Mytilus edulis: one gene and its partner. The protein of the gene in region 1 binds, or shares a complex with, the protein of each later gene. Links are inferred from orthologs where the notes say so. Each region holds a gene or a part of one and is shown on either strand. Other genes may lie near its edges.

Region 1 (15,938 bases):
ATGTTTCCCCCTTTTGGATGATCCCATGCCATATTTAAAATACAAAGGTAAATGAGTTTATTTTATATCAAATGTGCTTACTTTCTTCTTCATGACCATGAATTCATCAATTGCCTTCATTCCTAGAAGTTTGTTTTCATTCTTTGCTTCTTCAATACATTCCCAGAACTGGTTTACTTCTGCTTGACGTTTATCATGTTCTTTTATACCGTATTCAAAAATCTGGTAACAAACAGCCACAAACTTTTCTCTGAAGGTGAACAGAGTTAAGGAAAAAAGAATGAAAAAATCTCCTTCTTAAAGGTAAGTCCTATTTATTTTAAGTATGAGAAATACATCCAGATTTATACATAGCTTTGAATACTTTAAAAACAAATTATTTAAATTTCTTCAATTTTGATTTAATTTAAACAAATATTAACCAATTTGATAAATTTTAATATTCCATATGTTGTTTAAATTGTTATGCATGATTTTCAAATTATACTTCAATTTTGTATTAAAATAATTGCCATAACAGCAAAAAAGATGAAACCACATACTCAACTATTAATAATTCTACTCTTGAAAATTAAATTTTGATTTAAAAAGGATATCTTTCAATGAGTTCAGAAATAGCAGGAAATTCTGCCAATTTCTTCCCTTCTGCGTCTTCTGTGTACAAACTCTCAAACAAGCTGTCACTATCCATGTTCTCAACATAAGCAATCTAAAATAAACAAATACTATGCTTTACTTATGCCCCTGATTATATTAAGTAACTTAGTTAGTGATTGTAATCCTTCTTTACCTAAATGTATTGAAAAACTACAAATACCTGTACTTGTTAATCATTATAATATTATGTAATTGTATGGGCATCTGAAAATCTATAATTTTTCATTTATCTGTATAAATAAATAATTATTTAAACATGAATTTAAGTATCTCATAAATCCATGAAATCTTCGATTGTGAATAGAATTCAAAACAGTTTAAGTCTATTAAAAAATATTACAGAGCTTAGTTGAGCTAATGACTGTATCATGAAACAAGCACCAACGAGAACTTCGTTGTGCCTATTTTTCTGAAAAGTGATACATGTACAAAATTTACATTCATATTTCTCAAAATGCTTAAATTGAAAGAAAAATCAAGTCAATCGTTAAACAAGAATGTGTCCATAGTACTTGGATACCCCACTCACACTATCACTTTCTATGCTCAGTGGTCTGGGCTGTGAAATTGTGGTCAAAACTCTTATTTGGCATTAAAATTAGAAAGATCATATCATAGGGAACATGTGAAAAGTTTCAAGTTGATTGAACTTCATTAAAAACTACCTTGACAGATGGACAATCAGATGGACAAAGACTGAAAACATATTGTTCCTAGGTGGGGTATAAGAAGAAAAAAAAAGAAGACAAAATATTATCTGAATAAAGGAGAAATATTTTTTGTATGTTACCTTATGTAATTCAACCTCTATCTTTCTCTTGTTATCTTCTTCTACTATAGCATTAGCCTGTTTCTCGTTGTGTAACATTTCTTCTCTTGGAATCATATATTTCTCAATGGCAGCCTCTCTCTGAACATACAAAAAAAATAAATAATAGTTAATATCATGCATTGAATTAATACACTTTCTTTCACAATAGTATAATCTTGATTACAAAAAAAACAGAAACTTAATTCAATAATCAAAATCATTAAAAGAAAATGAACAATTAATTACTTGGTACATTTCATCTTTGTTCAAGTTTAATTGTTAAACGGGTTCAAAGACTCAAATCGCAGTCTTGCACAGAATGAATGTAAAATTATGGAAAAAGGTCTATAATTATAAAGAACATTAAAATTGAGAAAAAAAACCATTAAATCCATTTAATAAGATGAACAATTTCTATACATGTGTCATCTTTGTATAATTTTGTAAGGATCTGTATTGAGATCTGTAGAAGGAGTCGACAGAGTAGATACCACTTTTCCCCAATCCACCACCACACTTTACCATACTTTTAGTCAGTTTTGTAATTGTGTGCAACCCTGCCTATAAGATTAACCAAGTCTTCATACATTCAGAATATTCTGAGATAAATGTTGTTTAATGTTTCATTTCTAATAATAAAAATTACAATAACAAAAATGCACATGAAAAAAAAAATGAGTTGAAAATTCCCTTTTTACTTCAGTCTAAAAGGTTGATTTTTTGTTATCAAAGGATTAAACTTACCGCTTGTTGATGAACCAATTTATAATCCAGAAATCCTATGTCTGAAAGAAATGCTATCACATATTGTTTATAAGTGTCCTCTTCACAAAATGGATTCCCTTTCAGTGTTAATGTTTTAAGTTTCTTAAATTTCCTTAAATATATAACCTGAAAATAAAATAAAACTTGTTCAAGAAAACATTAGATTATTGAAAACCATGGAAATTTCATTGTCAGAAAGTCACATGTTAATGTATAAAGCGAAGCCAAGTTTTCAAAATATTAACTGATTGCCCCTACTATAGTGTTTTTAAGTTGTAAAGATTATCCAATACTTACAGATTCTGGGTTTTGCATTTCCTTCCAGTTTGGAAAAAAGGCAATTATTTGGTTTACGTTACGATTTAGATTAGTTTCAAAGTAAAAGTAAGAGTCAGAGCTACAACTTTTGACAGTGCTAGAATAATACATTGTATGATATCATATGGTCAGGTCCCTGCTCCACAAATAAAACCCCCCAAAAAAACCTAAATAAATTATAGTATTGTCAGTCAAAACTTATGTCATTATCAACACAGCAGTATTGACTAATAACTATCAAACTTACAATAAACAGAAAAAAATCACCAAGGCAGAGTGGCAAGGCAAAATGCTGAGTTACATTGCTATCAATTTTTCCACATACTTCTGTTTGAACATAACAATTGAGCACATGTGTTAATATTAGGAAAAGTAATGAAGGCAAATAACTACATATGGCATTTCATTTCTTTAATGGTTATTTAAAAAAGGTTATTTGGCTGTCAAACTTAGACACTGTAGACACTTTTCATCGATGTACTGAGGAATAAAGGTTAATTTCCTTTTAACTTACAATCAAAGTCATATAACTATTCACTCAAAATTGAAAGATTATTTACAGGAAAAAAGCTACAAAATTTCTTAAACCAAATACAATGCTGATACTTACATTTTCTAAATCTTTCAGGATATTGTTTCCAATGGAAAACACCTGTAAATTTACTAAATTATCCATATTTTCAATCTTTGATATTCTGTTACTGTATAAAGTAAGGTCTTCTAATTTAGTCAGATGACCCAATCCTTCTATTACTTCTATGTTGTTAAAGGACAAATCTGAAAAAACAAATTTGCTGTTAAAATTTAAAGTTAATAGTTATCTCCTCTAATATATAACAAGATTATAAATATATATGAACGATGGTTTTCTTTCTATTGAAATAGTCATATTTCATTTTTAGATGGGGAATAATGATGCATGATAATGATTGATTTCTGTAAATATTGATGGATGAAAGTTAACCAAAAGATGGAGAAAAACTGTTCTTGATGTTTAAACTCCCGTTTGAATCAAATAATTTATGTTTTTGTTCTTTAAAGAATTTGTGTTGATGGCAGTTCTCAAATACTGTATTTAGAAGTCATCTAGAAAACTTGTCATATGCTACAGACACTTGACTATAGTATTGTGGCAGACTATGTGTTTAATTTCTGGTTTATCAATGTTTCCAGTTCCAATCTCAGTTCTGTATACCCACATATATTACTTTGTATTTTTCAAATCATGATAATTATGTATTGACAACACCCTCTTTGATTTACAAATTTATACACTTACCCAACCAAATAAGATTTACCAGTGAGTCTAGTCCTTCTATTTTTTCTATGATATTGTTGTCCAGCTGTAATTTTGTTAAAGCTGTAAATTCCCATAAGTTGTCAATTGTCAAAACATCTGGAAAATAAAAAAAAAAGACTTACTGATCAATTTCTTTTCACATAATATAAAATGAAAGCAGATTTATAGACATATACAAATATATATATATATTTATATATATAATGAACATACGTGCAACAACAAAAAGAGATCTCTCAAAGTTAATTTGTATTCTTAATAATTATAAAATTATTGAGAAAAGTGAAAGAAATTCACTTCAACAAACGTTTAAATCAGGAAAGTTAAGTTTTTGCCAGGAGGCTACAAATTTGAAAAACTATTTTTAAATGGAACAAAAACTATATAAAACTTTTTTTCGATAAAATACCAAAACAACAAGGTATTTACAATATAAATATTACATCCACAAGAAACAATGTAGCAAAGGAACTTTGGAATTTGTTGATAATAAAAATATACATGTAATTTTTTTTAATATTTTTTTAACAAACATTTTCATATATTTTTTCTCATAATTCAGATAGGACACTTTACACGCATCATCTTGTTCAAACACAGCTAAATTATTTGTTAACTTACTTTTGAAGTCTAATCTCAAGGATCTAACATCACCAAAGTCTATCCCCTCAGCTTTAGCTATTTTACCAGCTTCTTCTTTGGGACCTTGTTCTTCAACAGCAGATCTGAGTAAATCTTCATCGATAACTGTTGGTTCTAAGTTATCGTACATACGAGACATAGAATTTACAGCACTCATTTTTGCTGCTTTTGATGGATCTGAATTATAAAATCCACATATTTAATACAATGGAAAGAAACTAAAAAGGATGATTGTCTTATTTTCAATCAATGTTCATTTTTGTACATGTATTATTAGAGTCTTAAAGTTATGAAAATTTAAAACAAATGACATAGGTCCAAGTTCTTGTTTTGTCATCAAAATGGTAATACTGTATTAAAAAAAAACCTAATTCACATATTAAGATTTATGACAAACTACATGTACATTGATTATTAATCAGAAGGAACTCACTCATGCTGTTAAAAACTGACGAAGGTCATGAGATTATGCTAAATTCTATTGAATCGGAGTCTGACAAATTTTAAATAACAAAATATTAAAGTCTAGACAGAAATTTACATCCATTGACAATCCCAGAATATTTTTAAAAAGTGATCTGTCACATTTATGTATGAGGATGAGGATATCAATGTCGTATTTCTTCTACAATAATAATATGAGAAGATAATGGTAGGCAGGTAGATGAAACGGTATCAGGTTTATTCGACCCAAATATACTTTTGCACACTACATATTTGCACCTCGCACATTTGCACCCAATTTTAAATCAAATTCCAGTTGAATTATTAGAAAATCATGATTGTTGTTTTGACTTGCTTCAAGCCTATGATGTAAACACTGCATGTTGTGGGTATTTAGCTTGTCATGAGAAAAGCATTAAAGATTTTAAATGAAAACACACAAAAAAACAATTGTTTTTAACAGCTTGGTTCCTTTGATCTGAAACAACGAACAAAAAAAATTAAGGCAATACATGTACAGTAACCAAAACATGATTAAGATTTATTCAACACACAAAAAAACGTTGTTCGAATCTCACTTGATTTAGAAACAATGTTTTTTTTTATTTACATGTCAAAACTGCCAAAATCTGCTCTGAAATTTTAATTAAGCAAAAATGTATTTTATATTCATGATAGTTGACTTAAGTTGTATTTGTAGTATAATTTAAGAATATTTTTTTTATATCTCTCATAACTCTTTATAGAGTGGCTCTTGTTGTTAATTTGTGTTTTAAAAAACTGTATATTTTATATGTAACAAGTGGTGAGACTTTAATAAAGTATTTATCTTGTCTTCACTCGTGTCTTGTCTTGTAGCAATACACAATCTCAAACATAATTCAGATTTCATCTTTCATTTTTTAATAGATAATAATAATACACTTGCCAAATCTAGATTACAAAATTATTTAACAAACCCAATAAAGAGGGGGAGAACATATTTTTAGGATTCAGATGACACTTACATGAATGAGAAAAATAAAAAAATGAACAAATTGATGACCAATGTATATGGACAATGCAGTCAGTATACTCTATTGTAGAAGCAATGAAGCAGAGCATACATTTAGGAAGTCAAATATCAACTTTTAGATATATCAGACGATCTTGTCTGCCCAAAAATTGCTGTTGGACATCAGAGTAATCTCTGACATGAAAAGATGTATAGATGATAAAAAAAGATTTCTTCTCTCTATAAATTTTAAAACACAAACTACAAATTGTGGTTGTAAGAGATAGACATTTATAAAAATCATTATGATTTAACCCTCTTGCTGCCGGACATGTGTCGACACAAACTGTGTCAGAGGGAGTGGGACACATACATTGTACATGTATGTCCATGCTTTAATTTATGTAAGCTTCTCATCAGTGCTGTACCTTAAACAAAATAAACAAGGGCCCCGAACAATTGGGGCAAGTATGGACACAACATTCATGCAAGCTTGATACGGTATCAGGTCCGTTCGCGCCCAATATACTTTCGCACCTCGCACGTTTGCACCCAAGGTCCGTTTGCACTCTACACGTTTGCGCCCAATTTTTATTCAAATTCCGGTTGAATAATTGGAAAATCATCATTGTTGTTTTTAATTGCTTTCGGGTAAATACTGAATGTATTTATAGCTTGGTATGAGTAAAAGATTGAAGATTATAAATGAAAAACACAAAAGATAATTGTTTTTAACAGCTTGGTCCCTTTGATCTGAAACAATGAAACAATAAAATATAGCAATACACTATTATAACCAAAACATGATAAAATTTATTCAAGACTCAAAAATAAAAAAACATAGTCAGAATCTGACTTCATTTTGAAACAAGTCAATGAAACAAAGTTATGGTAATACACTAACCAAAACATGATAAAGAGTTATTCAACACAAAATAAAATGTTGACAGAATCCCACTTTATTTAGAAAGGAATATTTTTTTTTTTAACAATACACTATCCAAAACATGATTAAGATTTATTCAACACAAAAAAAAATGCTGTATCACTTTATTTTGAGACAATGAAAACAATAATACTTATAAGAATACTACTTGATTACAAAGTTGATATTGGGCGCGAACATGTAGGGTGAGAACATACTTTGGGTGCGAACATGTAGGGTGCGAAAGTGAAAGGGGGCGAACATGAGTGGGTGCGAACGTGAATGGGCGCGAAAGGACCTGGATTCGCTTGATACAGCTCTGAATTTGGATTGTGATCAAATTCTTGACATAATATGAGTTTCTGACACAAAACAAATGTCAAGATCTTACAAATCTATTATGCAATATTTTGCAATTACAGATTTCTTCAAACTTTTCAAAAATTTGGAATTTGAGAAATTTGGAAAAAAATTATAATAGCCTTTCAAGACGTCCATGACGTCATAATTATTTAGACTAGTACTAGGGCAAACGTGAATGACGTCATTGTTTGGCATGTCACACCACAATCATCAAGCGGTCATATTTTCTAACATATGAAATGCAACCCTGAAAAACAGAGGGATATTGTCTTTTTTTTTATTGACTATTTTGGTTTTGTTGAGTGCTTGTTTATTTGTTTTAAATATTAGTAAATGCGAGTGGCAGTTGTTAATTATTAAAACTATATCATTCATTGTAATTTATTGAAGATGACATTAACCTTTTGAGTAGAAACGACTGTAACCTCAATGATTTCTCACATTTGTCGATTTGAAGCTTCAAAAATTGTGGGAAATGGCGTCCTGTTTCTATGTCGACTGTTATTTCCGGTTCTAAAAGTACTTCCGTTCCACGAAAATATGTATTTTAAAATGATGTTTGAATATGAGAGGAAACCAAACATTTTGTAACGTGAAGAAAGAAATTATTATTTTAAATATTGGTCGAAATTTTATGCCAGTCACAAGACTATTCTATAAATAGATCACGCAAATGACGTCACGCAATATTTACAAAAAAAATGGCTGCCCTCTTTGGACATGGGAATCCTCTGGCTACACCTGTAGGCCAGATGATTGGTAAGAGCTTATAGTGAGAAGTAACAGCCCATATTTAAGATGAGACATTACATACACTCCCTTACATAACAACAAAACACAATGTCAATCCAATTTAGGAGAGAAAGGTAGAAAATAGAATGAAAGTCTGAATAAAAAAAAGAGACCATAAATATTTTTTGAGACATAGTTGATACCTTGACCATCATTTTGCTCTAAACTTCTATTCTATATTTTTCTTTTAAAAAATGAACATACTTGAAAATACTGTCATTGCTGCACTTTCATTCCTGACTTAATTTCCAAACCTAACTTCCTTCCATCATCCATGTTTGGATAAAGTTAGGGGTGACTGTTTGAATTTTTTTATTCATGTTTACGGTATCACTATTTGAAAATCACCAATGTATGATCTATTATTTCGAAACACTAACTTTTGCTGTCATGAAAAATCACTTGCATTGTGACATCAGAATTTTTCTCTTATGACACAGACATTTGAAGGAATCAAGTGTGTCTGCAAATCCAGTCTAAACAAAAATTTTATCCCTCTATAGAAGGATTATCCCTCTATACAGGTATAATCACCATATAGAGGGTTTGTTCCCAACCTGTTCAATGAAATCGCAAATGTCAACAAGAACTAAGTAAGACTGTAAGCAAGGTAAGATCATCGTATCTTGCAACAAATTTTAAAACAATTCGCCGTTTCAGAATCTAATGCATTCTGGGTAATATTTTCAAAAGCGTACACCAAAGCGTTTTGATTGGTTTAAAACGTTATAAACAATGGAAATTCAACCAATGACGTAACGTTATTTTAACTTTGGGGTACGAACAATGAAATTACCCATGATGCTTTAGATTCTGAAACGGTCAATTTCATGAAAATAATTTAGTTATAAGTAGTTGTAACTTTATCTTGAACATGAATATAGAGAAATTAAATGCATATTATGAATTAAACACTTGTTTGTGCAATTTTAATTTTGAACTTTATCCACATAATAACATTGATTGTTAGAGTATGCAAAAATAAACTAGCAGTTTCCTGAATTCTGGTGTTTCCCTTGATAAACCAGGGCCTGGATGGTCTTAGAAGTTTATCTACAGCAATCACTAGCCTGTCAACACTGAGTTTGTATGTACATTGTAAAAACCCTGCATGTGGCAGGTGTGCTGAAGGTTGTTCTGACTCCACTCTCCAGCTTTCTCCACCATTAAAACTTGGATGCGTAGCTGTAGCTGATAATGCTTCAAGATGTGTTAAACACCAATAATCAATCAAACGGTGAAACAAACATAGAACAATTATTCAATCACCAAATTTACTATTCAATTGAAAACTGAAATGCATTTATTCCTGAGCAAACTTTAAGGAGTAAGGGGTGGATTTTTTAAAACCTTAATGGGAGAGTACAGAGTAGCACACAGTTTTCTATATAAATGTTTAATTGACATGTTGTACTTGTAAACAAATACAAATGAAAATAGTTTTAGTCTAAGTCAAGTTCCTGTTGGGAGAGTTATTTCCAGATTTGACTCCCTACAGTGTACTGAATCAATTGTGAAATATTTTACAAGTTCCCACTCCTAGAACTTGCTCATTTTCCATGACAGCGTCCGTCGTTGCACCCTGTGTTGACCAAATTTTTGTGGCTACAATAATTACTAACAACAATAAACTTCTTTTGAGTTGAAATGTGTGGTTTGTTAAATTATAATGAATATAAACCAAGAAAATTGTCAGCAGGTGCACTATGAACATCTTTGATTTTAACATTTAAAGGGTATTGCACAACAATTATCAGATTATGGTGCAATCATATTGTATTTTAAACATGATAAAAGAAAAAATTAAAAGAATGAGGTAAAGAAAAAACATGTTTTCTATTGTGATTTTCTTATTTTCAGAAAAAAGCACTGATGGTTCACAAGCATCAGAAAACTGGGGACTGTTTATGGAAATCTGTGATGTAATTAATGACACTGATGAAGGGTATGATACTTATATTAGCTATATAAATTAAAGTCATTTAAAAGTATGTTTATGGCCTCTTTATTTATGTGTTTTGATGTCATATCAAGTCTGGAAATAGAACAGACTGTTTTGATAAGGATGGTCAGCCAGTAGAATGAGTGGATGTCTAATATATCAGGTGCATGATATTTTTTGATAGAAGTTGTCAGATGTATTAACATTTGCTATAATAAAATATTTTACTATACTACATATAGTGACAATGATATGTTCTGGTTGGAAAATTTACAAATTGTAATGTATAAATTTTTTTGATTTTTTTTGGATTTTTCAAGTCTTTTTAACTGTACCATTCCTTCACAATAGTGCTCTCACAGAAGTAATTCTGCAGTAAATATGAAAAAAGAAGATGTGGTATGATTGCCAATGAGACATCTCTTCACAAGAGACCAAATGACACAGAAATTAACAACTTCAGATTACCCCACAACCTTCATTCATGAGCAAAGCCAATACCATTAGGTCAGCTATTAAAGGCCCTAAAATGACAAATGTAAAACAAGAAAACAAGAAAACTAATGGCCTAATTTATTTACAAAGTAATGAACGAAAAAACAATATATGTAACACAGCATGCGCTACAAACAACAACCAATAAATTACTGGCTCTTGACTTCGGACAGGCACATACAGAATGCACGATTTAACAGGTAATGCTTAATATGATTTGAATAATGTGATTGGTAAAGATTTCCATTTTAATGCAACAGTCTGTAGGTCTTATCTCTTGCCACTGAAGAACAACAGTTCCTACTAGTGGTCATCCTAAATTTTATCTCGTGCAACTTTGAGGCTTATTTATGAAGAATTTAGATTTATATAAATTATAAATGTTCTTCTGTATATTTTACAGACCAAAAGATGCTATTAAAGCAATTAAGAAAAGATTGTCACAAAATATGGGAAAGAATCACACTGCAGTTATGTACACTTTAACAGTAAGTTTCTAGACTCCCCTTTCTTTAAGTATTGTACAATGTATGTTAAAAGGTCAAACATGTGACATGAAAAACTTGGCTTATTTAATCTTTATTTTACTTAGATGACATTCAAAGATAATAACAATATATTATATTAATTTGTATTGACATAAAATGTACATGCCTGTTGATGCATTACGAAAACAACATGAAATTTCCTATAATTAAAAAAAACTTATTCCTAAAAATATTCAAACTTCATCATGAAAATATATTAAAAGAAAAAACAAAGGATATGGTGTATCCATCAGTGACACACAATCAGTAAATGTATAGCAAAAAACACTAAAAGCAAAGGGAAAGTGTGTAATTGCTGTTTATGATCTCAGAGTTTGAAAATGAATATTTTTAAAAATAAAACTTGATCATCAAGAAAAAAAATTCTTTCTGATGAAGCCCAATTAAATTAATATTGTGACCAGTCAGACCCAACAAAGAATTTTTAAAACAGTAGTGACTTTGGTATATCATTGAAATGGTTATTTTATAAATCAAATGTTTACAAAACTTTAAATCGATTGTTGAGGAATAGATTATTTTAGCTAAATTTTTTAAAAACATTAAGGAATTTTGAGTCTTTAATACGCTGCTTCAAAATTATCTCTGATCAGTGTCAACCACCAATTGCGACAATATTTCAAGCCCCAATCATGAAAAATTAATTGATGATATTACTAGACCTAAATATTTATATTTTCAGGGTTTTGGCAAATTTTATTTTATTTTTACTTGTTATACAAAATCAGTTATTTGTTTTATTTGTACCTAATGTATATTATTTCTTTGTATATTTAGTGTTTGGAGACATGTGTGAAGAATTGTGGAAAAAAATTCCACCAGCAAGTAGCCACAAAAGATTTTATGGGTGACTTAGTCAAAATAATTGGTCCTAAATACGACCCACCAACAGTTCTTCAAGAAAAAGTCTTAAGTTCTATACAGGTAAAGATAATCTTTAGGGTGCAATCAACAGTTTTTTACGTGACGTCATTCTGTAAAAGGGCATGTAATAGTGGACCCATCATGCAGAAGTCAGATATTCATAGTTATATAGATATCTATACATCAATGGAAAGATAATTCTATGAACTTTCTGAATAAATAAAAAAAAATCCAACATCTCTTGTTTAAACATGCAAATTGGTACAAGTTATCAGCTGGAAATTAGGCATTTTCCCCCTAAAAAACCTTAAAAACAGACCACCTTTGGACACACGGATCAGTAACCTGTGCATATATTTGAGATTTCTTATAATATGCATTTCGAAGAGCTTATCCGGCTGATTTAAGAAAATGTAGTTTCAGCCTACGTTCGCCTGCTCCGAAAGGAGCTATCTTACCTGACAAATCAAAGTGCTTTTTACAACAGGTGAAAATCAGCTGTTTATGGAGTTGCCTCCCATATAGTAGGAAGTCACAAAAACATTTTTTTTTTTTTAAATCTTGACAAAAGTGGCATTTTAATTGAACTTCAATATATGTTTTTCACATTGAACATAAAAAACAATCAACTTTTTCATTTAGTGGTATATAAATAGCAGGGAATTCCATCAGTATGTAAATCTCACTGGGGAAATACCCCTAGTTTTTAGTACGAAACTGTTTATAGCACCCTTAAGCAAAACCTTGTATGTGATATATAAAAAATTCTCAGCTTTTCTGAATCTGTACACTATACCGATTAAAATGATGTCTTACTTTAAGGATTGTGACCACAAATAGTGAAACTACAGCTCTTTTTTTAAGTCGCGCGGTAGTGGCATATTGGCCAGTGGCAAACAGTTTAACTGGCAAATCCCAAACATTTCCTGTATCACATTTTCATCAGTTTTACAAAGAAAATAAATCATAAAATAGGGTTTCTTTTAAATAAATAGAATAAAAACTATGAAATAGGCATGAATAAAGTTACTTTAAATAGATTTTGTTCCTAGTACTATATGAACTAAGTTATAGCTGAGTTGAGAAAATATTGAAATAGTGTTTTTCTTAGGAATGGCATGTGTACCTTTTTGACTATAAAAAGTACCAAATATATATTATAATGAATAAAACTTTATGTAACACTGATCAGGAGTAAAGGTCAAAGTAGAAAAAATCTACACTTTTCATATGCAACTTTTGGTTCCAAATATATGAGAGATTGAATAAAAATATCATGACGTCGCAAAAAATTAAAAAACTTCAATATTCGCACAGAGTCTGGTTTTCTTATATCTGGTTGCTATGTACAAATCTGTAATATTTGCATTAAATATACCAAACTGATGCTTTTAAATTAATGTATACATGCCGTACAATATTTTTCAGAATTATTTTACTCCATTCCCAAACACATTTCTATGCTAAAACATCACTAATATTTTGTATTTGTCCCTTAAGGGTGCAATCAACAGTTTTTTACGTGACGTCATTCTGTAAAAGGGCATGTAATAGTGGACCCATCATGCAGAAGTCAGATATTCATAGTTATATAGATATCTATACATCAATGGAAAGATAATTCTATGAACTTTCTGAATAAATAAAAAAAAATCCAACATCTCTTGTTAAACATGCAAATTGGTACAAGTTATCAGCTGGAAATTAGGCATTTTCCCCCTAAAAAACCTTAAAAACAGACCACCTTTGGACACACGGATCAGTAACCTGTGCATATATTTGAGATTTCTTATAATATGCATTTCGAAGAGCTTATCCGGCTGATTTAAGAAAATGTAGTTTCAGCCTACGTTCGCCTGCTCCGAAAGGAGCTATCTTACCTGACAAATCAAAGTGCTTTTTACAACAGGTGAAAATCAGCTGTTTATGGAGTTGCCTCCCATATAGTAGGAAGTCACAAAAACATTTTTTTTTTTTTAAATCTTGACAAAAGTGGCATTTTAATTGAACTTCAATATATGTTTTTCACATTGAACATAAAAAACAATCAACTTTTTCATTTAGTGGTATATAAATAGCAGGGAATTCCATCAGTATGTAAATCTCACTGGGGAAATACCCCTAGTTTTTAGTACGAAACTGTTTATAGCACCCTTATAGATATATATATAAATAATCTAATTGCAAATCAATACATGCTTCAAACCTGTAGCTGACCATGTTGTTTTTTAAGGGGTTGATAAAACTGAGTCAACATCTAAATATACAAATCATTCTGTCATAATGAGGTTAGAGGATTTAGTCTACCTAACAGGGCTTTCAAGGCGGACTAATTGTCTGGTCAAGCCTGACGAATCATACACTGGACTTGGTTGTTCAGAGCCTGAACCGGACATATTTGCTATTTTACATAATTCAGAGAGAGAGAAATGAAGTTTACGCAATCTTCTTGCCATGACCTTGCCTTTATTAAAATCAAGGTTAATTAGTTTGACAGCTATAATTTGCCTGTTCAAAGGACAGGTAAACTATTTTATATGGGATATTGATCTGTCTTTTTAAAGTTGTTTTCCTTAAATTCACTGATTTGTATCTTCTTAATTTAGGGCTATTCCAGAAAAAAATGTATGGGGGTTTGGAAGGCAGTGTTTGTCATCACCCGCCACCCAGACAATTGTAATTGAGAATTATAGTGCATTATAGTGTGAAAAGTTGCTCTGATACCCATCACCCATGTATTATTAATACAATGTGCCTTCCAACCCCCATACATTTTTTTCTGGAATAGCCCTTAGTAAAAAAATATTTGAATTTATTTAAAAAGAAAGTTACAAAGGTTTAAGTGAAAAATACAAAATATATAGAAATGTATTGCTAGAATATTTGATTAAAAGAGTAGTATAACAGTAAATAATTAAATTAATTTTTTTTTATAGTCCTGGTCAGATGCTTTTAAAGGGCAACCAGACCTGAAGGAAGTAGAGAAATGTTATAATGATTTGAAAGGAAAAGGAATTGAATTCCCAATGACAGATCTAGATCATATGGCACCAATTCACACACCAAAAAGGGTATGTATAGAGGACTTTTGAAATGAAATTACACACATTATAATCAATATTCCTTAGTGAAATATTTGCATTGAACAATACATAAGTTTGTAACCTTGTTAATGAACGTGCTGTTATCAAGTGCAACTGCTCTAAGTACTAAAACAAACTAATGGATTTCAAGTTAAAGAAAAAATTGTTACAACTTATGGAGATTTGCATGAAAGCCAAATGGTCCAGTCTGATATTTTAAAAAAAAGGAGATGACTTAAATTTGATATGAATCCAGGTAGTTTCATTTTGTGAACTTGCAAGTTAATGCTTTTTTCATCTTTGAAAGGCAGTTTTATAAGATGAGTTATTCTGGAAGAAAATGATTATAAAGGATAAAAACCAAAAAAGAAATATAAGAAACCAATCTTAATCTACCTTGACATCTTATTATATTTTTCAGAGTCAACCAGAACCTGAACCTGTTATCAGACAACAAAGACAACCAAGTTTACGAGCAGTGAGTTATCTCCCTTCATTTTATAGTCTTACACATATCCATATTCATAACTACTACATTGTATTAATACTGCATTACCATTTTTCATTCATATTTGTACAGTGTAATTGAATGTTTCAAATTGGCTTTTGGAATACTCAATCAATTTTCAAACCAGTGTTTAATTTTTGCATGATAATATTTTTCTCAAATCTGTGCTTAATTTTATTTACATAAAAGAATTTTTAGTTGAGTTGTGTCATGTCCTAACCTTGGAGAAAAGGCTATTATTGATTTTAAGGTAACAGTAACAATAAATTAAAAGTGCTCTGATTTGAATCTGTAATTCTTTCTGGTAATGATAAAGTGAACATGAAAATCCAAAAATTGTGGATCAGGGGAGATAACTGTTTACACCAAAATGAATGTCCAACTATAAGTTTTCTTTATTGCGATTTTGTTATAATGGAATCTAATCAAAGGACTATATATTTTAGAAATTAAACAAAGATTCTTTTTATTTTTTTCAATTTAACAG
Region 2 (16,380 bases), on another chromosome or scaffold:
AAGTATTCACTTATTTAGTAATTTGAAATAATCTGTTCTCAGAATTTTGTTGTACTGTGTAATTTGTTGACCGATATTCATAAACAAACTAACAGATTGCTTGCAGTTACTGAAACCAAGCTGAAAGTTCTATAATCTTCTGATGTAGAAATCATGTTTTCTTGATAGTTCTTTCTCTTTAATGCAAATGTATGTGTGTGCTGTATTTTCATTTACAACAAATAACTAAGAGTTTTCATTATACAGTTACTGGTTAACTTCCATTACAACTCCATGTAGTTGTAGAAAGTCAGATAAATCTAAAAAGAGTGGTCTTTCTTTGCTCACATTCCAGATAGGTGTAAAATTATTTCAAATATGCTACATGTTTTACCAATATTTCTATCTTTGTATGATCACATTTTTCTTACCTCTGCCAAAATGTCTTGTAATTCTGCTTCACTAGGAACACAACCTAGTGATCTAATGATGGTACTTATTTCTCTATAAAATAAAATTATATAGGTTCAAGTAACATGAAGTGACTTGGTAATGAAGTAGTTGGTCGACATCCATAATAAAAATATCATTTACGTGTAAACTGATCATAACTGAGGTGGATGATACATGTAACTTCAATCATCAAAAAATTAAAGGTGTCACTGCATGCCATAAAATTTGTCAATACATGAAGCTTTTAAAAATCATTACATCTTGTTTGTTTTTGAGGCATTCAGTACTTGAAAATTAAATTCAGTACAATAAATCACCTGACATCAACTGTCTGATTGCTTTCATTGTCAAAAATTTCAAATGCATCTGTTATTCTTTTCTGTATATCAGCTATTAAAGAATCTGAAAAGTATAAGTTAATGAAAAGTATAAGTTAACATTTAAAGGACATGTACATGTTTTATTCTATTTTCAAATAAGGTTTTAATAACAATTCTTTCAAGAGAAAATTATATCAATATACATGTGAATTATATTATAAATTGGGTATGTACTTCATAACTGCATCACTAAAGGAACATGCAGGTTCAAAATGGGATGGGCCTTGGACATAGATACATGTATACCGTATAGCATGTTATTTTTCGAGATTTTCAATGAATAAGGTATACAAAATATTTTAGCTGTTAATTTTTGGCGGAATTTATTTTAGTGATTTTGTTCTATCCGCGAATATAAGCAAAAATTTACACCCTGTGAAAATAACCCGCTATAAGGTAATAGAATGTCAAAAATCAACTAAAGAGCCGAATTTAATTGCTAATAACTTCAGTATGAAGATATCAATACAAAAACGCATAAAAACGTCAAAAACAAAAATATACTGTTAAGCCACCTACATGTTTAGCTACATATAGTTATGTTACTATATATTGAAAATCAAAATTAACCCCTAAATGTTGATATACATTGTTCATGTAGGCACACTTGTGCTACCAAAAAAAGATAAGATGATATATAAACTATCCCAAACACTGTTAAGCAACAAATGACAACCAGGTGCTCCGCAGGGCGCAGCTTTATACGACCGCAGAGGTCGAACCCTGAACAGTTGGGGCAAGTATGGACAAAACATTCAAGCGTGATACAGCTCTGAATTTGGATTGTGATCAAATTTTTGACATTACATGGTTTTTTTTTACACAAAACAAATGTCAAGATTTTACAAATCAATTAAAGATTTCTTCAAACTTTTTAAATCTAAAATTAAATAGTTGACACAGCATAGGTTTCTGACACAGAATGAATGTGGTCTAATGAACTTAAAAGTTTTTTTTTGCCTTTGAGCAATTTACTATGCTGTTGAATATTAATCCTCTCAAAAAAATGTTTGAAGAAATTTTCTTTTTATTTAAGAAATCTGAAATGAGAAAAATTTAAACCCCCCCTTTTTTTTCACATCCCCGTTTCCCTTTTTCCAAAACTGATATCAATTCAAATTTCTAATGGAGTTTGCAACAATAACTACTCTTTTAAATACATCATAAAATATTAAAATGTAAAATAAAGTGCTTGTTATCACTGAATGGTAAAGATTGGGTGGTAGTAAAAGTGAATATACATTGTTTATTGTATAAAACAATAAAAAAAAACTTCATCAGCAACATTTTATATTGGCAAATTGAAGTTATTTACATAAAGTTATTGGCAAATAAAAATAGAAAATGACATCATAGTCATGTCTGGCAAATGTCCAACATACATTATCTAAAAACATTTTAGATAAGATAAGGAAAAAAAGCTTCATCAGCAACATTTTATATTGGCAAATTTCCAATGAAGTTATTTACATAAAGTTATTGGCAAATAAAAATAGAAAATGACATCATAGTCATGTCTGGCAAATTTCCAACATATATTATCAACTACTATTCTATACAAAGAAAGATAACTCCAATTGAAAATTAATTGCTATAGTACAATATTGTGCAATTAGATATTTCTTGCTATTGTGCAATACTGTGCAAATTGAAAATTTCTTGCTATCGCACAATACTTGATATGGAATCCTGATTTGGACCAACTTGAAAACTGGGCCCATAATCAAAAATCAAAGTACATATTTAGATAAAGCATATCAAATAAGCCCAAGAATTTAATTTTTGTTAAAATCAAACTTAGTTTAATTTTGGACCCTTTGGACCTTAATGTAGACCAATTTGAAAACTGGACCAAAAATTAAGAATCTACATACACAGTTAGATTTGGCATATCAAAGAACCCATTTATTCAATTTTTGATGAAATCAAACAAAGTTTAATTTTGGAACACCATTTGGACCAACTTGAAAACTAGGCCAATAATTAAAAATCTAAGTACATTTTTAAATTCAGCATATCAAAGAACCCCAAGGATTCAATTTTTGTAAAATCAAACTAAGTTTAATTTTGGACCCTTTGGACCTTAATGTAGACCAATTTGAAAACGGGACCAAAAATTAAGAATCTACATACATAGTTAGATTCGGCATATCAAAGAACCCCAATTGTTCAATTTTTGATGAAATCACACAAAGTTCAATTTTGGACCCTTTGGGCCCCTTATTCCTAAACTGTTAGGACCAAAACTCACAAAATCAAACCCAACCTTCCTATTATGGTCATAAACCTTGTGTTTAAATTTCATAGATTTCTATTTACTTATACTAAAGTTATGGTGCAAAAACCAAGAAAAATGCTTATTTGGGTCCCTTTTTGGCCCCTAATTCCTAAACTGTTGGGACCTAAACTCTCAAAATCAATACCAACCTTCCTTTTGTGGTCATTAACATTGTGTTCAAATTTCATTGATTTCTATTTACTTAAACTAAAGTTATTGTGCGAAAACCAAGAATAATGCTTATTTGGGCCCTTTTTTGGCCCCTAATTCCTAAACTGTTGAAACCTAAACTCCCAAAATCAATCCCAACCGTTCTTTTGTGGTCATAAACCTTGTGTCAAAATTTCATAGATTTCTATTAACTTAAACTAAAGTTATAGTGCGAAAACCAAGAAAATGCTTATTTGGGCCCTTTTTGGCCCCTAATTCCTAAAATGTTGGGACCAAAACTCCCAAAATCAATACCAACCTTCCTTTTGTGGTCATAAACCTTGTGTTAAAATTTCATAGATTTCCATTCACTTTTACTAAAGTTAGAGTGCGAAAACTAAAAGTATTCGGACGCCGGACGACGACGACGACGCAGACGCCAACGTGATAGCAATATACGACGAAAAATTTTTCAAATTTTGCGGTCGTATAAAAACATCACACAATTGACTTTAGTGTCAAAACATGTAAATAACAGAATATTCATGAATCAGCAACATTAACAAGCATTCACAGCAAATGCAAAACAATGAAACTTTAAAGACTGCACATTTTGTTACTGGTTTAATCATGGGCAAAGTCAGGTAGGGTTTAAGTACGCCTTTGTGGAACCCTTAAAATGGAAAAAATTAAACTTGGGCATACTAAAAATAGAAAAAAAATCTAACTTGCTCAGAGGTTGGCAAAATTATAAGGTTTACACCCTAAAACTCAAATCCTGGACCAACCCCTGATAATGCTGTAAAAACTGGTTGAACTAATCACTTTCCGAAGGAAAATGACTGTACCATAACATTCTTAATTTTAAAAGTACAAATGTTTCTGGAATAACCTTTAATAGGTAGCTCAAGACCAAAAAAGTTCAGAAGGCAAATGCATAAAACGGTTAGGCATAGAACCAAAACTTCAAAAGGGCATAAACTATCTAACAGTATTTAATGTATACTGAAAGGGATGTTATCTTAAGGGTCTAATCTAGTTTTGGAGAGGGAGAACTGCTTCCATGAGAGAGTATGGAGAAGTGGCCAATTTCTTTGAGAAGTGAAATTCGGAAACGTTTTGGTTGCATGGTGTTTTCCTGCTTAAGAGAATTTTTTTGTATATGCAACAAAAAAATATACTTGCAGTTGTTTCATATGATATTGTACAAATGTAATTATTGAAAAATCTTAATAAAGCTTTAGACAATATATAGTTGTTATTTATTTATTCATTCATACTGTCAACTTTAAATTAAACTTAAATAAAATGTGTTCCTTGGACATCCAGTAGTAGGCTAGGTATATCATGATTGCCTTCATTTCATGTGAAGCTGCCTTAATTTAGTTTTTAAAGTCCAGTTTATCTGATGAATTCCACATGACTGTACAATATAATTTATATCACAACTTGTCATTATTTTGTAAAACATTTGTGAATGTCAAGAACATCATGTCAGTTGTAAATTGGGATTCCTGTGAAAGATATAAGCTTATAAATGAAGATATGTGGAGCAAACTTCTTTCTTTTTTTATATAATAGATATCTTCTTTATTAAGAAATGGACCTGAATAAAATCCACTGCTGAATATAAATGTTTTATTTTGATTCAGTACACATAATGATATTACAATACAAACATAAGAGATTTTTGTCGAATATAATGCTGATCACAAGCTGGCCATGTGTCGTACATTTGCAATCACATTATCCATCAGCTGTCCTTCTACCCTTTTATTTTTCAATTTTTAGTCAATGAATATAAAAATTCCACAGATTATGCGAGATAAAAATCGTTGTAAAATGATAATTCAAACAGAGGCTAAGATTACTATTTGAATTGTTTTGAATGTTAATACTTTGCTATGAAGTAGTCGGCCAGGTAGATTTAGATTTTAGAGATTCTCAAATTTTTTTAAAGATTTAAATCATCGTTTTGCCAGCAAAATTTTAGGCTCCTGGCTGATCTTGGTTTTATTGCAATTATATAATTGAGAAGCTTTAATTTTATTTGTCTTGTATTTATGTAATATATGTATAAAAAATTCTTTGCAAAAACAAAGCAAACATACATTTACCAACATGACCAAACATATTACTTACCAACACCCCCTTTGTAAAAGATAATGTCATTTCAATTTCAGCTCCTTTAGATTCATTACTTACTATAGTTACATACTGTTAAAAAGAATATTGTGCACATGGTGACACCACCTAATGGTGTGTCTGATCTTTCAAATTAATATCTTAAAATTACCACATGTATATCTCTGTTCTATTATAAATTGTTCCTGTTTTAATTTGTAATGTATTCCTTATAGGGGGTCACATTTGTGAAGGGGGTCTGATCCAAGATCCCGCAAATTGTTTAGTGAGAATCCTGTTTTAGGTTTCTCTTTGCCGTAATAACTCATGTAATTTCCAATGTCCCGCTAGACTTTGTATCCCTTTTTCACACTTAAATATGAGACATTCATGTGTCAGGCTTAAAAAAATTGGCCAAATCGTGTCAACTTGGACCCAAATTGAGACCCATCCTTTACAAAATGTTGTCTGTTTAGTTGTATTTTTAACAGTGGCATATATTTATTTAGCATGAGTTTTGGCTATAAACCATAAAACCACAAGTTTTTGCTAACCATAATACAAGGTTCAGCCAACTATTTATTTCTTAAAATGTTCTGTATCCAGTCAGGAATATGGTAGTTGTTATCAATTAGTCCTTTTTTTGTATCATACATGTTTGGTTTTTTTTTTCAGTTGTTTTCCTCCTATATCATATATGTCGTTGATGTGTTTCCGATGTGTTTCCCCTGGGTTTTAGTTTTAACCAGTTTGTTTTTGCTGGATCGATTTAGTTCAATTGCTTATCGTTATCCTGCTGTTGCTTTAATTTATACAACTACCAGCAAGCTGTGCATCTGAAAATAATAACAATATAAAAAAAAAATTGGTTCTCGTGAAAGTTTCATACAAATATTAGGATAATTTATGATTCAAAACTGCAAATTTATTTCCTCGACCTTCATCAGTAAGGGTATATATTTATGGAGAAGTTGTTTAATAATGATGGGATCGTGATTGTGAATTCCTACCCGCGTTTTCCTTCTGTTCAGCATCACCCATCTTGTTTATATTGGTTGCTAATCAGTGACCTTGACTTGTAATTATCTCCCCCTGTGACAAGTGCGATTTGTAGGGAAAACGAATTTAGGAATCAATGACAAATCGTCCCACTGGAAAATCGCCCCACACCTAATCGCACCACTTTTCCACAAATCGCCCCACTCTGGTTTACCAACTCGCCCCACTTATGAAAAGGGTAAAATTCTATTGAAAATAGGTTGGATAAATTGTCCCAATTATGAAAAGGGTTAAAATCCTTAAGGTCTGCCAACTAGCCCCAATCTGAATCATGACAAATAGAAAAACCACGATAAAAAATTATTAATGCCAACTCGCCCCACTTATAAATTTCTCATTTATGTATGTTTTCAAACCATAAAAAAAACTTACCAATCAAATTTTCATCAACAATAAAACCTGCCTTGTCTTTTTACTAACAAAAACAAGACCCACGCTTATTGTACATCTTCATCTACATCATACGACGATCCATCATTACATTGATGACTATACGTCGGCGCATCGCAAACAGACACTTAATAAAATGTAATAACCAATGAGTGCAATAATTCAAAAATAATTTTGTGCAAAAACAAAACAAAAATTAACACATTTACATATTTACAAACAGGTTGGATATCTAAATATACTGACTCTGGATCAGTATTTTAAACTGATCCAGGGAGTTAACACTGATGACGTTTTGTGGAAGTGAATTTCACAGTACAACTGTGAATGGAAAAAAGCTGTACTTGAAGTAATCTGTTCTTGTGTTAAATGTTTGGTATTGTAATGAATTAGTGAATCTGGTGTTTTTGACTGGCTGTGGTAAAAGGTAAAGGTTTGGGTCTACTGCAATGAGATGGTGTGAGATTTTGTACAGCATAGTTACTCGATTGATGTTTCTGCGAGTTTCAAGTGACTTCCATTGAAGATAGTCAATCATGGGAGTGACACTACTGGTGTTGTGGTACCTGTTGGTGACGTAGCGTGCTGCCCTTCTTTGTACTTTTTCAATGTTGTTTTTTTTTTGTTTTTGGGTGTGAGGGGACCAAACTGAAGAGCAGTATTCTAAATTCGAACGTACCATGGATTTGTATGCTAAACTTTTTGTTTCTTCCTGGTTTATTTTTAAGTTTCTTTTAAGAAAGCCTAAGATCTTATTTGCTTTTGCAGTAATGTTGTTGATATGTGTGTCCCAAGACATGTTGTGAGAAAGGGTGATACCGAGATAATTGTGCTGACGGATTCTAAAATGTGGCCTTTTAATACGTAGTCATGTTTGAATGGTGACTGTGATCTTGTCACAGTGAGAGAGTTGCATTTTTCTGGATGGAATTGCATACCCCAAGTTTGTTCCCATTTGGCTAGGCAGTTTAGGTCAATTTGTAGTATGGTACTATCTTGGTGATTTGTTATGTTTCTGTATAAGATACCATCATCTGCAAACAAGCGTGTTTTTGGTGTTACTGCTGCAGGTAGGTCATTAATGAAGATGAGAAAAAGTAGTGGACCCAAGACTGAGCCATGGGGCACCCCACTTACCACAGGCATTTGACTAGATACCTCTCCGTCAAGGGCAACCTGTTGCGTTCTGTTATTAAGGACCCCGGCAATTCCAGGTATTTCCTCTTATGCCATAGTTATCCATCTTCCTTAATAGTTTTTTTGTGAGGTACATGTACCTTGTCAAATGCCTTGGAAAGGTCTAAAATAATAAGATCGGTTTGTACGCCATGATGGAGGTTACTAAGTAGTTCATGACATAAAGTAAGTAGTTGTGTTTCACAGCTGCGTTTAGATCTGAAGCCATGTTGATTATCCACAAGGATGTTATGTGTGTCCAGATGTTTCAGTATGTTACTTACAACAATGTGTTCAAGCAGTTTGCAGCAAATGCAGGTTAGGGAGACAGGTCTGTAGTTACTGGCTAGGTATTTTTCGCCTTTTTTTTTAAAATAGGGATCACATTTGCCTGTCTCCAGTCTGTTGACACATCTCCTTTCAAGAAAGATGTATTGAAGATGAAAGCGAGATGAGGTGCAAATTCAGGTGCAAATTGTTTAAGAATGCGTGCTGGTATTTCGTCTGGACCTGTAGCTTTAGATGTATCAAGATTTTTCAAAAGTTTTTCTATGCCATTTGGTGTAACATGAATTTCGGCCATAGATAGAAAGTTGTCTGATAGAGTTGGTATTTTTTTTTTTTTTTTTTTTTTTTATTATTTTCAGGTGTAAAAACAGAGTGGTTTTGTTTATTGAGTATTTCAGCTTTTTGTTTTGTGTCGTCTATCAGCATACCCTCAGATCTTAATTGTGCAACTCCCGAACTGTCTTTTTTGGTGGACCTAATATAATTCCAATTTTGTTTCTGTTTTTGCGAGGTTTGTAAGCTTTCGTCGTAACAAATGATGTTTTCCAGATATGTCCAATAAGCTTTTCTTGTCTCTTTCTGAATCAGTTTTTTTGTTTCCCTGTACTGTTTATTAATTTTACTATGCGATTCTGTTTTCATTTTTTTTGTAAATGAACGAATGGGCATTCTCTCTAATATTTACTTGAAAGTAACATTTGTCTTCAATGATTGCTCGTTAGGGTTGGATTATTCTTAACTTCAATGATTCAAAGACAAAAGTAACCAATCCGGTAAATGCTTAGTCCAAATAATTATGACGTCTGACAAGGCTATTACGTAGGAAGGCGTCGCAGAAAGAAAAAAAATAGCCTTGCCAGACGTCATTATTATTTGGACTCAAAGTAAGTGCTATGATAACAAATTGCTGTTAATTGAAATCCTTAATATTTAGAATTATAATTTCAGATTTAGTAAAACATCATTTGATTTCAATAATAATAATAAAATAAATTTTCTTTTTTTTTTGCATTCTGTGTAGATTAGTTTTTTTAAGGGGCGAGTTGGGGCGATTTGCCAGTGGGGCGATTTGGCCTGCTTCACGAATTTAGGAGTCTAAAAATGTATTCTGTTCTGGTTAAGAAAATCTCTCCTTCAAAGGAACACTTCGCACAATGATGAATAAAATGTTTATATATCTATATATACTTAAAAAGACATATATACTCAATATAGCATTCCACATTCATGGTCAATTCGGCACCAAATTATATTTTAAAATAAAAAAGATTTCAATTTTAAAATATTTTCATATTTTTGTGGTGTTTAATTTTATCAGTTACATTACAAGATCGTTAAAATCATCACATCTTATTATATTATAAAGCAGTTAAAATGGTTTTTTTTTCTAATTCCATGAATAATTTTTGATTAGATTTCTATTCGATTAAATTTTCTCAATTAAATAATTAACATGTTTTTTATATTATCACTGATCGCACATGGAGAATAAACTAGGAATTGATAGGAAACAGCAAATTAAAGTTATTTCTAGCATATTTATGTTCATATTGATTTGCAAAGCACGAAACTTATTGAAATAAATGGAAAACCAAAACCTAACGGATTTAGAGAAAAAAAGGTTAACAAAAAAAAAATCTTGTAACTGTTCTGTCCCCAAGAACTTATATGTTCCGTATGTCAAAACGAAGATTTTACATTGTCAGGTAGTGCCAAAGGCTAAAGATAACAGGCAAGTCGTGCCTACCTGACATTGCAAACCTCCACAACGAACAAGAGACGATGAGTATATATAGGACCTAAATCAGACATACTTTCATGATAGAGATCAATAAGAAAGAAATCAATATTTTCAGATTTACAGGTACAAAATTGACATTTCTACAATTTGACAATCAGAAATCCTCTTTCGAAAAACAACCGAAGTTCTGCTAAATTTATTTTAAAGAACAATAATTCAATCGGAAGAAACTGCTATTAAAGTTGATATTGACAAAGGGAGAATATGGACATGGAATAAACTTCCTTGTTCAGTGGCGGATCCAGAAATTTTCATAAGTGGGGGCCCACTGACTGACCTAAGAGGGGGCCCGCTCCAGTCACGCTTCAGTGATTCCCTATATAAGCAACCAAATTTTTTCCCCAAAAAGGGGGGGGGCCGGGCCCCCTGGGCCCCCCCTAAATCCGCCTCTGCTGTTGCCATCACAGGTATTTGTCTCAGATCCCCCTATATACCTTAATATAACACTTCTGACGAATCACGATAAGGATATTTTGCCGAATCAATGTAGAACCTCGCATTTTCCCGTTTCTAAGCCTCATACAAATAAATTTCATATTTCAAGACACTATACGTATATTGTCTAAATACAATTCAAAACAATAAAAGAAAAGAAAAGAAAATAAGAAAGAAAAAAAAAACGACAATGACAACTAATTACAGGTTGTATTCCCTCTGAATTGAAATTGTGTTGCTGAGAAAAATTATAAGGTTCTTTTCTTTTTTTTTTTAAATGCATAGAATATTGGTGATAATCATATCAAACATTTCTAATATAACTTCAAACGCAATCTTTTCATGAACACGATTTATATAGAAATAAGAAGATGTGTTATGATTGCCAATGAAACAAATAGCCATAAACACCAAAAAACTCACATTTAACCGTGTATAAAGTAAACCATAACAGACACCTAATTTCTAAATGTGCAAACATTCTAAAGAGAACATCAACGACCTGATTTCAACTACAGTTATGCTATGTGCTAAAATATTTTTGGGAACATCAACCAACAACAAATATGACTTATATTTTCTGACCTTCAGACAGGCACACAAGGAATGTTGCGGGTTAAACATGATTGTTTGAGCGCTCAGCTCTGGTCTAAGATGGAACACGTAACACAGACTGTACGACTTGTATATATGATGACTAACATCACCTCGTTTGAAGGAACGTTATTGGTTCTTTTGTTTTTCTGCATTTACAAGTTTGTACAAATTGTTCTGGTCAACACGAACAAAGCAAAAACAAAAGAATATTATACAGACAACACCCAAAACAATGCAAAATGAAGAACATAACGATAACATCATGAACAATGCAAAATGAAGAACATATCAACAACACTACAACAATGCAAAATGAAGAACAAAACGACAACACCACGAACAATGCAATTTGAAAAACAAAACGATAACACCCCAAACATTGCACGATGAAGAACATAACGATAACACAAAGAACAATGAAAAATGAAGAACATAACAATATCACCACGAACTATGCAAAATGAAGAATATAACGATACCACCACGAATAATGCAACATAAAGAGCACAACGATAACACCATAAACAATGCAAAATGAAGAACAGAAGAACACAACGATAACACCATAAACAATGCAAAATGAAGAACATAACGATAACACCATAAACAATGCAAAATGCAGAACACAACGTTAACATTCCCAAACAATGCAAATGGAGAAACACAACGATAACATTCCCAAACAATGCAAAATGAGAAACACAACGATAACATTCCCAAACAATGCAAAATGAGATACACAACGTTAACATTCCCAAACAATGCAAAATGAAGAACACAACAATAACATTCCCAAACAATGCAAATGGAGAAACACAACGATAACATTCCCAAACAATGCAAAATGAAGAACACAACGATAACATTCCCAAAGAATGCAAAATGAGGAACACAACGATAACATTCCCAAACAATTCAAAATGAGGAACACAACGATAACATTCCCAAACAATGCAAAATGAAGAACACAACGATAACATTCCCAAACAATGCAAAATGAAGAACATAACGATAACATTCCCAAACAATGCAAAATGAAGAACACAACGATAACATTTTCCCAAACAATGCAAAATGAGGAACAAAACGTTAACATTTCCAAACAATGCGAAATGAAGAACACAACGATAACATTCCCAAACAATGCAAAATGAGGAACACAACGTTAACATTCCCAAACAATGCAAAATGAGAAACACAACGATAACATTCCCAAACAATGCAAAATGAGGAACACAACGTTAACATTCCTAAACAATGCAAAATGAAGAACATATCGACAACACTACAACAATGCAAAATGAAGAACAAAACGACAACACCACGATCAATGCAAAATGAAAAACATAACAATAACACCCAAAACATTGCAAAATGAAGAATGCAAAAAGGAACATAACGATAAAACCACATACAATTCAAAATGAAAAACATAACGATAACAGCACATTAACAATGCAAAAAGATGAACATAATGAAAACACAGCGAACAATGCAAAATGAAGAACAAACAAAGAACAAATGAACAAAGCAAAAAGAACACACAGACAACAATTACAGCATGAACAGAGCAAAAAAGGAAATAAAAAGGTTAACAGTGATGCTCTGGTTTTGTCAGGAATTTCTGATCTATAAGTGGCAGCAGAAATTTTGCTTTTGGAAAGTAAAAGAATCAGAAAATTGGTCACATTCTGAGATGTGATGAAAGGTAATTAAATATATTCTTATTTGTAGAATAATAAACAAGGATGAAAATATGGAAAATATCATAGATCATTGTGGAATTCATGTTATGGTAGTGACACCACAAAATTCTAACTTGATCTGTTTTGTGTGGTAATAAGCATTGTGTATAAGTTTCATAACATATGGTTTTGGCAAACTAAAGTTCGAGAATGGAAACTAAATATTCAGAATTTTTTCCATTTATAAAGGGGCATAACTCTTGAAAGGTTTATGATACACCACCAAAATTCAAACTTGATCTGTGTTTTGTGGTAATAAGCATTGTGTATAAGTTTTATAACATTTGGTCAAGGTAAACTTAAGTTAGAAACAAAACTAAAAATGTAGCAATTTTTCCATTTATAAAGGGCATAAGTCTAGAACAGTTAAAAAATTGAAAACAACACTTTTAATAATTTCTTGCGTCCGAAGCGCTTTTTTGGATTTACCTTCATCAGGAACGCTCAAAGCCAAACATTTGAAATCTGAAGATAGATAAGTACCGAGAATCTTTGAAGAGCTATATGTCAAATATACCTAAAATAAATAGTCAAATTCATCTAAAGCCAACTTTGCCTGAGGGAGTTGAAACCTTAGCCATGACTTAGGGGACAAGGCCTTGAACTAGTTGTCATACTGATTAGTACTGATAGTTATGCAACTTTATAGAAAATATCAATGATGTATCATAAGTAGTTCCTATCAAACTAACTGAACAACTAGATGCATCAGCTAGCTATGTCTCTCTGTCCAATACTTCATCGTAGGAGAGTCAAAAATAGTAACTCCACTTATGAGGACCTAGACAGGAAAACCTCTAGTAATATATTATTTCTTTATGTATCTATAAATTGGGAAAATTGATTTTAATGGTTCCTATAGTTTTTTGCCGCTTTCAAAGACTTGACCTAATCACCTGTCTATTGTGGAATACAGCAAGCTACCTGCTAGATGTCTTTTGGTTATATTTTTTTGTGGTTTAATGTATTATATTGTTTTCATTAATTCAGAAATTGAGTGTTATCAATTTATCCACATCGTCAATAGATTCCAAACAATTCAGAGTTTGAAGACTTATTATTTAGAGACAGGTCTTTGGTTGAAGACTGCATGTTACTCTCTAGATGTATTTTGTTATTTTTGTCTTTGGGTTGCTGTCTCATTGACCTATACACCTCATCTTCTTTATTCATGTATAAAAATTAAACTCAGATCTTATAATTTAAATAAGCTTTATTAATCTAATTGCATAGATTAAGACACATACATACATAAAGTTCTGATAAAACTTCAGCACCATATTTCACACTCTCTATCTCACTATCTATCTCACTAACGATTTGTCAACCAGTCAATTCAGGGACTTGATTTTGTAGGAAATAAAATATGAATATCTTAATAATAGGTTACAACAAGAATGTGTCCAAAGTACAAGGATGCCCCACTCGCACTATCATTTTTCATGTTCAATGGACCATGAAATTGGGTAAAAAATCTAATTTGGCATTAAAATTATAAAGATCATATCATATGGAACATGTGTACTAAGTTTCAAGTTGATTGGACTTCAATTTCATCAAAAACTACCTTGACCAAAAACTTTAACCTCAAACTCCCACTTTCATTTATTATGTTCAGTGGACCGTGAAATTGGGGTCAAAAGACTAATTTGGTTTTAAAATTAAAAAGATCATATCATAAGCAACAAGTGTACTAAGTTTCAAGTTGATTGGACTTCAGCTTCATCAAAAACTACCTTGACCAAAAACTTTAACCTGAAACTCCCGCTTTCATTTTCTATGTTCAGTTGACTGTGAAATTGGGGTCAAAAGTCTAATTTGGCTTTAAAATTAGAAAGATCATATCATAAGCAACAAGTGTACTAAGTTTCAAGTTGATTGGACTTCAGCTTCATCAAAAACTACCTTGACCAAAAACTTTAACCTGAACGGACGGACGCACAGACGAACGGAGCCACAGACCAGAAAACATAATGCCCCTCTACTATCGTAGGTGGGGCATAAAAAATACATAGATTAATTATATGTGTCTTTGGAAGTACTTTTTCACAATATTGCAACACTATTTCATCTTTTGTTTTAAAGGATTACCTTTTTTAGGTGGAAGTTTGTAAAAGAATTCACAGTTGTTCAACAACCATAAATAAAGGACTATCTATATAAAATATAGAAACTATTTGAGTCAAACAAACTCTTTTTGCATCCTTGCAGTAAACTGGTGAATTAAATTTCGTTATATGTATTACTGATTTATAAAGGTTAACTGTAACTTATATTTTATAATCTTTAAGTATTAAATTTGAATTGAACAACAAAATCTTTTGTTTTCGTCAGATAATTTCTGTTGCCAAAATATGACCTATATAAATTTTGCAAGAAATATACATCGGATTTGATGTAAACCTCAATAGTTCTGTTACATAATTGTAGAATAAATGATAGTGCTTGTTTAATCTTATGTTTAATACTTTGATATGTGTGATTGTCATAAAAAATACTTTGGTAGTCCATAAATCTAACTGTATGAAAAGTTTTTTCTCTTTCAAGTCTCTTGGAAGCCATGTTTATAATGATATTCAATGTTCTGTAACATGTGAATTTCTTCAGATCCTACATGATAACAGAGTGAATTCTTATCTCAATCTTCAACTTTCTCTTGTGTCATAAAGACAACTAATATATTTAGGTTTAACAAAATCTGTAATATGATTGATTGAAATTGAACGAAAATAAGAACATCTAAATGGAATGCAAAGTTTTGTTTACACAAAATGATAGATTTCTGTATGAACATACAAGTATACGATTGTATCATCCTTATACGAGTAGAATAAAAAAAATGAAGTCACATAAAATGAATCTAACAAATCTGAATTACCTCCCCTGTTTTACTTGCACAACATGACATGCATACTAACAAATCTTGATTTCATTCACACATCTATATCAACTACACAATGACAAAACTATAAACACTAAAACACAGTACAATAGTATCACTCTAGACAACTTGGTTGTCCTTTCTAATATAGCCATTTGTTTCATGTTTAGTTTTCCTTTAAAATATCAGATTTTCTCTCATTTTATGTTTTATATCTAAATTGTAAAAACGTATTCATGTATATCATTTTTGTTTCAATTTTGTGTAGAATTTTTACTTCTTTTACAATTATCATTGATAAAAAGACAATTGTTTAAATGATTGTACATATAAATACTGCATCAGTGGCGGATCCACCTATGTGCATTGTAGTTTACAAATTAAATGTATATTTTTTCTGTAGTCTTGTTATTTTTTTCGTGAGGTATAAACTAACTTGTAGCTAGGATTATAAGTGACTGTTTATTACTTTGTCTTCACAAATGAATAACACTTTAGCAGACACACTGCTATACAAATCATTTTATGTGCAGTTAAACTGCTATGACATTCAGTTTTTATTTGCAGTCAAACTGCTAGAACTGTTATCTATAAAATAAAAAAATATAAAACGATATCTAAGGAAAACAAAACAGAAACAAATA

Evidence for each region.
Region 2: dynein regulatory complex subunit 3-like (region 1) and dynein regulatory complex protein 8-like share a complex: the UniProt entries of both Homo sapiens proteins name them as parts of the nexin-dynein regulatory complex. The link is inferred for Mytilus edulis from reciprocal best matches to the Homo sapiens genes DRC3 and DRC8.

What each region holds. Positions count from the first base shown.
Region 1 is NC_092352.1:28,250,200-28,266,137, forward strand, and holds the start of dynein regulatory complex subunit 3-like, read right to left. Parts: upstream 7,729-15,938; 5' UTR 7,621-7,728; exon of another isoform or gene 7,615-7,620; intron 4,671-7,614; 5' UTR 4,651-4,670; coding exon 4,473-4,650; intron 3,948-4,472; coding exon 3,831-3,947; intron 3,329-3,830; coding exon 3,162-3,328; intron 2,360-3,161; coding exon 2,213-2,359; intron 1,568-2,212; coding exon 1,448-1,567; intron 710-1,447; coding exon 597-709; intron 257-596; coding exon 82-256; intron 1-81. Other genes in the region: TOM1-like protein 2, read left to right, coding at 7,921-7,978, 9,872-9,956, 10,852-10,936, 11,774-11,920, 14,797-14,931, 15,365-15,421. UniProt on the Homo sapiens protein: Component of the nexin-dynein regulatory complex (N-DRC) a key regulator of ciliary/flagellar motility which maintains the alignment and integrity of the distal axoneme and regulates microtubule sliding in motile axonemes.
Region 2 is NC_092346.1:91,312,528-91,328,907, forward strand, and holds the start of dynein regulatory complex protein 8-like, read right to left. Parts: upstream 6,480-16,380; 5' UTR 6,406-6,479; coding exon 6,375-6,405; intron 835-6,374; coding exon 750-834; intron 484-749; coding exon 411-483; intron 1-410. UniProt on the Homo sapiens protein: Component of the nexin-dynein regulatory complex (N-DRC), a key regulator of ciliary/flagellar motility which maintains the alignment and integrity of the distal axoneme and regulates microtubule sliding in motile axonemes.